Nothobranchius furzeri: one gene and its partner. The protein of the gene in region 2 binds, or shares a complex with, the protein of the main gene of each other region. Links are inferred from orthologs where the notes say so. Each region holds a gene or a part of one and is shown on either strand. Other genes may lie near its edges.

Region 1 (5,277 bases), on a different chromosome or scaffold from region 2:
TGGTGTTGAAATTAATTTAGCTTTGTTCATTGTCACAGCTAATAACTATAGATACCACAGCATCCCCTACTGGAACACTTTTAATTAGCAACCATGAGAAATAGCTATCATTTCAAATCAGATATACAGATTTAGTGTGGGACGTGTTTGGAAAAAAATATATAAATATATATTTGTTTCTCTTCATGTATAAATGAGCAGCAATCATACTAACACTAATAGGCAACATTTTGAATGTTAAAAAGAACCAGTTAGTTTTCAGATGATATGTATTTCTTATGTTGAATGAATAACACATAAAAATGCAGCGGAAATTCCCAAATTAATCTTTAAAAGTGCATGTGAACTGTTAATTGCTTAAAATGTGTTATTTTTGTTTTTATACAACATACAAACTTCAAAGTTTAAATGAGCAGACAATCTGATTTTCCGTGGATCCGTATTTGGTGCTTCCTTTCACCTGTTGCAGTTTTTATTTGTGGTTTAACTGATAGCGTAAATGTTCTAAACTCTGTTTAGAGTTTGTGTGTTCTCCTCAAACATGAATCATTCATTCAGCTTTCTCTCACAGTCTGAAAACACACATTAGTATAGCTGGTGATGTTAAATAGTTGTACGTTGGTTCATCAGTGTACAAACCACCCCCACAATCTGTGACCCCAAACAGGGGTTACAGATTGAAAAAGACTCTTGAAATATACTTAAAATACTCTAAGTTTTATTTAGTGAGATTTCTGCTGTTGTTGTTGGCTATTTCAGACTAGTCGAACCTCAAGAACATGAAAAAATTGTAGTAGTTCAAATTAAGGTAAAACAACATTAACAAATTTATTAAAACAAAAAACTAAAGATGAACATTTTAAAAACTAGAAATGAAAATTAGGTTGCTACTAGGGCTGGGCGATGTGGCCTAAAATTAATATCACGATATATTGAGGATTTCACCTTGATAACGATAAATGGACGATAACTACAGGTATGCGGCTATGCGCAGAAACAAAAGTTGTCCACTAGATGGGGCTGTCACGTGTATTAGTTGAGTCGCAGTTTTACGTGACTCAAGGTGGTACAGCTTAGCCTGGCAAGCCAGACTAAATAAATGACTAAATGAATGTCTTCTGATCATAAGATCAGAAGGTTAAATTCGTGTAGGAACGAAGGTTATTCCAGGCGCTTCTGAAAAGCCCGCTGTTGGAACTTCCTGGTTGTCTGAAAGGTAAGAAAGCAGACTGTAAATTACACAGTTTAAGTTGCTGATTCTGAAGCAGTAAGCAGCCTCTAACTTGTGATCACCATGGTGTCTGGAAGGCAGGGTCCAAAGGCCTCAAGCAGCAAATTCTCCTTTTTTACGGCTGCTTCAAACTCCTCCAAAGACACGAGTCCATCTTTATTAGTGTCCTGTGGGTGAGAGGATGCAAGAATTATTTTAGCTCCTAACTAATGAGAGCACGTTGAAACTAACAGATGTTGAACATCTCTTACCATCCTCTTCATCGGGATCTCCACGAGAAATTTTACTGCTTCCTCAAGGTTCTCCTCTGGGGGCAGTCCAGGGAGGGTGTCCTTCAGGAAGTAGAACATTTCCTCTCTGCTCATTTCCCCATCCTCGTTCAGATCGTACACAGAAAATGCATCTGAATGAAAAAAGAATCAGGCTGTGAGTCTAGATTTGAGTTTGTGGGCGTGGGTTAGAGAGACGGGGGGAGCTTACACTTTATTTTTTCTTCCAAGGTCCCACGAAGAAACACTGTCATTCCCTTCAGCCACTCTTCCAAACTGAGGAAGCCGTCTCTGTCTTTGTCAAAAACCCTGAAAACTGAAAACACTCTAAAAACACAGTTTTCTAAAAAATACTTACCCTTTAGTACTAAAGAGTTAAATTTTCTAATACTCGTTAAAATTACCAACAGTTATAAAAAAACCTGCTCTTTTTAATTCTGTGTTTTCAATTTGATTCGTGTTAAAACATCTGCTGCAAAGTCACTTCAATAAATGTGTCTTTAGCAGGTTTTTGTCTGTCTGTTTGTTTTACAATAAAGTTTTGCGTTAGCCATTGTCTCAGGATAAATGTGTTTTAAACAGGCTGCAAAATATATCAGATTTATTTATCCATTATAGATTATTGCCAAGTTTTCAATTTAAAGTAGTTCAGATCTTTAGAGGAGGATTTCTGTCGAACAGTTCCAAACAAAAAAAATGACTCACCTGTTGGTCTGAATGACATTTCATTAACATTGTAAACGGTCATGTTAGCACATATGAAAAACGTGCATAGTATGGCTTAAAGTGTGCAGTTTGCATATATTGGTGAATATTGAACAACTTTGTTGCCAAAAGTAGTCGTGGACTTGGTAAAAGTTGTGTGACTCATAAGAATGCTAATTTGGTGTCCCCTAGTCATGTGGTTAGCACATCTGAAAACTGTCTTGCAAAAATGTGTCTTACTAAAAAAACAAATAAAATTTCACCAGCCACCACTGTTTAAGACAGCAGAAACAAATTGGAACTGGTCCCAGTCAGAATGATCTTTGTAGAATCAAAACTGGTCTCTGTTTCTCCTAACCGAGGCTGTTCAAAGAGCTACAAGTATCAACTAAAAGGAAAAATGTCACAGAAATGTCAAAATGTCCTGTTAATCTCACATACACCTGTCAGTTGAACACAAAGGTCTTTTCAGATTATAACTTTAACCCTAACAGAACAAATGGGTCCAATCCTATTTAATAATAACCTAATTCAACATTCAAATAAAATGTCTGACCAGTTTCAATTAAAACATTTACCAAATAAAAATGTGTTGGGAATAATTAAAAGGCAGTCTAAGGATAAATAGACAGCATCCCTTTTGAAAAGGGACTGCATTCTGGAATGATACCTACTTCCATCTGTCATCTTCTCCTTGGACAACCTAAACATGTCGTGGAGGTAGACTTTGAACTTCAATCGGTCCACTCCGTGTTCCTCTGTGCCCGGCTTAACCTTCTGCCCTAGAAGCTCATAAAACTCCAGGATCAGGCTCTCCGTCTCCTTCTTCTTGACTAGCAAACACAGATAATCCTTGTTTACGTTGTGTAGCTGCTAGCTAGCTGCCACTAGCTTCTTCCGTCAACAAACCGAAACAGCGGGGTCAAAAGAAGTTTAAAAAAGTTCTACTCACAGTGTTTATCCTTTTCAGTGATTGTTTTTGCTAATTCACGAATCCTTCTCTTGTTCATAGCAGTCAAGTCCATGTTGGAGGAGAGAGTTCGTCACGTGCTCCGAGATAAACTACAAAGGTGATGCATCGACATATATAGTGATGGAGGTGATGGAGCGTTTCTATGGTAACATCAACACAGCAGCTCTCGTACAATCACAGTTGTTTGTACGTCCTTTATTTTACCAGGTAAAATGTTCGAGTATCATTGCAAACATAAGCTGGCCGAGATGTCTCGCAGGTAATTCAAAAGAAAATCACACTTGAGCAAATAAAAGGAAATAAAACTAATGACAAAGCATATGAGAATAAATAAAAACATAATAAATAGAATAAAAGGCAGGCATTAGAGAATTCTTAATCAACAACTGGAGAATGTTTGCAGGATTAGACATGCAAACAAGAAAACTGTAGGCTCGCCCCCAAGAGATGGCAAAACACAAATTACCGGTACATAACCCGGGGACCATTTAGTTCTATTGCTTTGAAAATTATTAGTTTAGCTTATGTTATCATTTATTTATTTGCAAGAACTTCTTGATTTTTTTTCTTTTCTTTTTTATGTTTCATGCTTTTCAAGTTCTCTTTCTTTTTTATTTTTTCACTTTTACTTCTCTGAATTAAAATCATTAAGTGTCTTGCAGAGAATATATTTTAGCTGTTTTGTGGTTTCTGTTTGGTTGCGTGCATGTGTGTGTGTGTATACCGTATATACGTCGATGGTGCATACAGTGTTCAGCATAAATGAGTACCCCAAGTTCATTTGTCAGAAAACCTTTAGATTCCTTTCAGAATCAAAATTTTCTATGAGATACCATACCACAAAGTAATGTGGGCCATTGATTGCAAACAAGATTTGTTCATTTGCTCACACAAAAACGTGATTTTCCTAACAAATTCATTCAGGCCTATGTTGCAAAAATGAGCACCTCAATTATAGTCTTCAGAGAAAAGCCACACTTAAGAGTACAAAATTTAAATTAACAGGCATTAAATCACAGGTGAGTCTAATGATTCATTTAAGAGGTGTCCAGCAGACAGGTGACTATAAAAAGGCTGGCAGCAGTAACAAAAAAGTGCTACTGATTAAATTCACACTTTTATAAGGAGTGTACTCATTTATGCTGAGCACTATATATATGTGAGTGTGTGTGTGGCTGGTGAGAAGGATGTTTGGACTTCTCTGCCCTGGCTGCCATGATCAGATAAGCTGAAGATAGCGTTGGTGTGTGAATCACACAAATGCCTGCAAATGCTCCCTGAGAAATGTGTGGCTCTACGTCATGTTCAATGGCTGTATTCCAGCAACAATCGGCAAAAACATTTCTGTTTGCAAACCTCTTCGAGACAGACTGCCTTTGTCTTGTTTCTGCTGCAGTTAGGTGTGGGTTTGGGTCAGTACCTCAGACAAGACACAGCAGGATGCTCCAGCAAACATCTTCTGACATAGAGCTGTGCTTTCTCTTCGTGACAAGTCAGCAGATGAGGGAGACTTTTTGTTTCTGTCACAGTTAAGCATGAACTATCTTGGCTCAAGGGCCGGTTGTGGTGCAGAGCAAGATGTGCCTTTGAACAAGTGTTTAACTGCATGTGTGGGTGCACACAGGACATAACTGAGGTGATCTCTGGATTTGAATCATCAGACATCCTGGACATGCCTCCAGTCCATCATGGGGACACAGAGACAAACAACAAGTCAAATACTAACCCACACCAAGAGACACGTTTACAGTCTGCTTGTTTTTGGTCCGTAGGATGAAAACAAATGTGAAAAGACCACAGCCGGGATTTGAACCTGTAACCTTCTTGCTGTGAGGAAACAGTGCTCCACCCTGCAGCCTTAAAGTGCAACATAATCACCTCAATTTGTTTAACTATCATGTTTCTATGCTCCACAAAAAGAGCCACCGCTTTCACTGTTAAAATATATCTTTATTAGTTTCATTACAAAGTTGCAGCACTTTTGCAGACGATGCTAACCACGGAGATGTTTCCACTCAAGCACAGACACGTACAGCATGTAAACAGACACTATTAGTCAGAACATAAAAACAGTAAAATGTGATTGTTCTTCTGAAGAA
Region 2 (4,604 bases):
TAAATAAATGAGTGTCTAATCGTGCTGCACACACGTGTCGTCAATAATTTGGCACTTCAGTGCATCTTAGTTAAAATTTAAATATTCTGCCTAAAACTGGCAGTGTTGTGCCGTTGTCAGGTAAAAACTCTGCACTGTATTCTAATTTAAATCTGCCACCGCTATTGGCTAAGAGGTATGCTATGATGTAAACTGGTACATTATGATGTCACAGTGCTGTTGTGAGCCTGTGTGAGTGTGCATTTGTTAGCAGCTCCACCCTCTCGGTCTGCCAGGCAACAGCATTTGTGGCATTTTTCAAACATGAAGTGGGAGTGGAGTTAGACTCTGGTAGGGGATGACTTGCTCTTTAAAGAGCAAGTCACCCCCAACCAGATTCTTACTCAACTCCCACCTGTTTGAAAAATGCCACAAATGCTGTTGCCTAGCAGACCGAGGGGGCGGAGCTGCTAACAAATTCACACACACACACAGGCTCACAACGACATTGTGACATCATATGGTACCAGCTAATGTCCTAGGGCACCTCTTAGCCAATAGCGATGGCAGATTTAAATTCAAATGCAGGGCAGAGTTTTTACCTGACAACGGCACAACACTGACAGTTTTAGGCAGAAAATTAAAATTTTAACTAAAATGCACTAAAGTGTTAGCCTGGCAAGCCAGACTAAATAAATGTATTATTCTTTGCAAAGCAAGAATTTGGTCTAGTTCACCAGGCTACTAAAGTGCAAAACTATTGACTACACGTGTCTGCAGCACGATTAGACACGCATTTATATCGTTTATCAGGAAAAAAGTTGATTTGGGGGCGACTTGCTCTTTAAACAGTGTTCCAAAGAATCGAAAAGAAGTAATTGATCATATTTCGACAGGTAAATTATTCCAGTCCAGTGGGGCTTTAACACTAAAGGCAAGTCTTCCCATCTCTTTGAAACATGGGTACAACAAAAGAAACATGCTCATTAAATCTAGTGTTATTAAAACTAGTACACACCAAATACCTTTTAAATTCGATGGAAAATCAAAGAATATACATTTAAAAATAAAAATGAACCACTGAAATCTACGTCTACGATGTGCTGACCCAGAATTGGCATCCTTTTGCTGCAGGATGAGAGTCTGACCTTCCAGGGCCAGCTGGACAGCTTGGAAGCAGAAATCCTGAAGTACAGAAAGGAGCTTCACAGCCTGCAGGTCATGAGGGACGACGCTCAGCTCTCTGAAGAAGCTGCAAAGGTGATCAGCGTTTTCCCTCTCTTCGCTTTGCACAAGCATCCTGGTGAAGCTTTGCATGTCTCATTCTGTCCCCCTGTCTTTCCACCAGGCCGCGTTCCAGCAGCAGGACGAACTGCTGTCCAGAGAGCGTAAGGAGAGGGAGAGAGCAATAACAAGTTACAGGAAAATAGTTGAAGAGCACAAGGCAGAGACTGGAAAAACTGAAAGAAGTGTAAGATGATCGCTGCTTTTAGATGTCTAATTCTGTCCATGGTCTCATAAAATGTGGAATTCAGTAAGTTAGGATGGGATTCAGCTCTGACACTGGTTGTAAACACGTGCTGACATTTAAAACGGGTGGCCTGCAGGTGAAGAGAACACCTCTGCAGCCAGATGAGCTGAGCAGCGAGGCCCAGCACAGCACCACTAGGATCCCCGCTGAGGAGGAGAAGGCCTTTTCTGCTCTGGAGGAGGCCTTCGAACGCATCAAGGAGACCACCGGAGCCACGGACGTGCAGGTACCTGAGATCTGATCTTCAGTAGGGAGCAGATTTCACCTTCTTCTCATCTAAAAACACCTCACGCTGAAGCTGGGATCATTTCTCTGGTTGTTTGTTTAGGAGATAGTGAAGCGCTTCACCTCACAAAAGGAGATGCATGAACATCTGGAGAAGCTGAAGAAAGAGAACGAGGAGGCCCTGCTGCAGCTGAAGGAGCAGAGGGAGCTTCTGATCCAGCGGTTTGAAGAGGAGGAGTATTCTGGAGATGCTAAGCTGTCATGGTGAGACTCACGTTGACCCTATGAGAACCCTGACCAGCTGTTTTTGTTTCTCTGGTTGAAGGAACCCGTGTGTCCTAAGGGTTGTTTTAGACTCTCCTTTTTTTGTCTTTGTGCTTTCATTAGTGAGCAGCAGAAGCTGGAGGAGGCCGAGCTTCAGCTTCAGGCTCACCAGCAGAGGTGTGACTCTGCCAGGGAGCGGCTGGACTGGCTCACAACAACCCTCAGTACCGTTACAGCAGGAGTGGAGCACCTGGCAGAGAAACTGCAGCACATCACTCTGGTAAGACACCTGCTCACGCTCGCACACACAGCATACCTGCAGTCTTTCTGTCACCGTTCCCGTTCCAGAGCGCGGGCAGAGTTACTGCGCAGCAGCCAGACTCCGAGGAGGCTGTGCTGGAGCTTCTGGCCCAGTGCGAGCTACAGCTGCAGCTGCTGCAGAAGGAGTTTGAGGGGAAAGATCTGACTGCTATCATGAAGGAGATGGGAGAAGACGAGGTGAGAAAAAGCTTCAGTACACTCTAGCCATCACATCTGGAGCTCGACAGGATCGAACACAGATTTGACGAGCTGCTGTAAAGCAGATGTTTTGTTATTTAATAACCCCTCACATAACAATTATGACCCAGAAGATGCTTTACATTCATTTATTTCAAACTCTGTCATCACAGTTATACACCGTCTGGAGGTTAGGGACAATATTTAGGCATCAAAAGCTTTTTAGTTTCAGTTAGATCTCCAATCCAATCCAATCCAATTTTATTTATAAAGCGCATTCACAAGGCATTACAACCAAACAAGGCGCTGTACACTAAAAATGTTAGTTAATCAAACCGGCGGTATACAAACATGTCGAACACAGATAAAAGATAAAAAGGAAATACAACAAAATTCCCAAAAGCTAACAGCTAAAAATCAATAAGACACAGGGTGAATAAAAATTAGAAAAACATTTAAAAAAGAACCTCAATATAGTATGGAAGTTGATATTGTGAAGTCCATTTTTAAACAATGCAGATGTAAGTGAGGTTCATAATTATGTGGTATAAGCTAGGTTGAAGTAGTGAGTTTTCAGGCGTGATTTAAAAATGCTAGCTGTTGGTGCTAGCCTCACTAGCAGTGGTAATGCGTTCCACAGCTTCGGTGCACAGACAGAGAAAGCCCTTTCTCCACGGCTTTGTAAACGAGCATTCGGAACAGCTAGGAGGAGCTTATCTTCAGACCTGAGAGCATGCGGCGAGTTGTAGTAATGGACAAGTTCACACAGATATGGAGGAGCTTGATGGTTCAAGGATTTGTAAGTCAGAAGCATAATTTTGAAGTTTATCCTGAACTGCACGGGCAACCAGTGGAGAGATTTCAGAATTGGAGAAATGTGTTGTCTTCTGTCAGCTCCAGTCAGCAACCTAGCTGCTGAATTCTGGACCAGTTGAAGTCTAGAGAGAGCTGCTTTACTGATGCCGTATAAGCAGGAGTTAGAGTAATCCAGCCTAGAGGTGATGAAAGTGTGGACCACAGATTTCAGAAGACCGACACTCAGGATGTGCTTTAGTTTTGAGATGCGTCTTAGTTGGAAAAAACATGATTTAACTGTGTTATTGACCTGGACATCCATCTTCAGAGCCTGGTCCATTTTTACTCCAAGGTTGGAGATTACAGAGGATACATTAGGTGAGAGATAGTTGAGGTCAGGTTGATGAGTCACCGTGGTACTGTTAGGACTGAAAACGATTAAGTCAGTTTTGGAGTCATTGAGATGGAGGAAGTTATCAGCTAGCCATTGCTTGACCTCAAGGATACAATCAGACAGAACTTTCGTTGATTGAGTTGGCTTAAATGAAAAATAGATTTGACAGTCATCAGCGTAAAGATGGTATGAGACAGCGTGCTTTCTGAAAATGGCTCCTAAGGGCAGTATATAGAGGTTGAACAGTAACGGGCCGAGAATTGAACCTTGTGGGACACCCCAACGTAGAGGCTGTGACTCGGATGAACAGCCATCCAACATGACCCTAGCAGACCTGTTACAAAAGTATGACCTAAACCAGTGGTTCCCAAACTTATTTAGCCGTGCACCCCCTTCTATGTCCCGACCATATATATATATATATCAGATGTCAAGCTAAACAGAAAGGGTTAAAATAATTCCCCATCACTTTCATTTTTTAAATAGTAAATAATAAGCATTCGATACCATTACAATTTCCTTTGATTTCATTTTGAATAAATATTTAGAGTGCCCAGGTAGCACATAAACAATGCAATTTAACGGTTTTCTTAAAGTAGGAACGTTTAACCTGTGCGGCCAGAGCGCTCTCCTTCCTTCTGCTCTGCGTAAACCTGAACGGATCACCTACTTGTGCATAATCAAATGTCAATAGGGGACAAGATATAGCCATGATGTTCACTTTTACCTCAGACCGACTTATTGCTGTTTTATGGTGTGGCTGAATCTGCGATCCGCTGTCATGCGGACTGGAATAACAAATGCTGCAGTGGACTTGTGGTCAGGTTCATGAGGAGTCACTGGCTGGAGCGGACCCGACTCATCCCAGAAGCTAATATCTTAATTTGACCTTGAATGAAAAATAACCTCTTAAAAGTT

The links. Proteins that work in one complex are often made in the same cells at the same time.
Region 1: odad3 (region 2) and clxn share a complex: the UniProt entries of both Homo sapiens proteins name them as parts of the outer dynein arm-docking complex. The link is inferred for Nothobranchius furzeri from reciprocal best matches to the Homo sapiens genes ODAD3 and CLXN.

What each region holds. Positions count from the first base shown.
Region 1 is NC_091743.1:68,488,609-68,493,885, forward strand, and holds clxn (calaxin), read right to left. Parts: upstream 3,416-5,277; 5' UTR 3,231-3,415; coding exon 3,158-3,230; intron 3,039-3,157; coding exon 2,880-3,038; intron 1,817-2,879; coding exon 1,712-1,816; intron 1,635-1,711; coding exon 1,483-1,634; intron 1,399-1,482; coding exon 1,294-1,398; intron 1,210-1,293; coding exon 1,162-1,209; 3' UTR 931-1,161; downstream 1-930. UniProt on the Homo sapiens protein: Component of the outer dynein arm-docking complex (ODA-DC) that mediates outer dynein arms (ODA) binding onto the doublet microtubule. Seems to regulate the assembly of both ODAs and their axonemal docking complex onto ciliary microtubules.
Region 2 is NC_091746.1:25,113,872-25,118,475, reverse strand, and holds part of odad3 (coiled-coil domain-containing protein 151), read left to right. Parts: intron 1-1,113; coding exon 1,114-1,239; intron 1,240-1,327; coding exon 1,328-1,450; intron 1,451-1,586; coding exon 1,587-1,736; intron 1,737-1,838; coding exon 1,839-1,999; intron 2,000-2,122; coding exon 2,123-2,279; intron 2,280-2,347; coding exon 2,348-2,497; intron 2,498-4,604. UniProt on the Homo sapiens protein: Component of the outer dynein arm-docking complex (ODA-DC) that mediates outer dynein arms (ODA) binding onto the doublet microtubule. Involved in mediating assembly of both ODAs and their axonemal docking complex onto ciliary microtubules.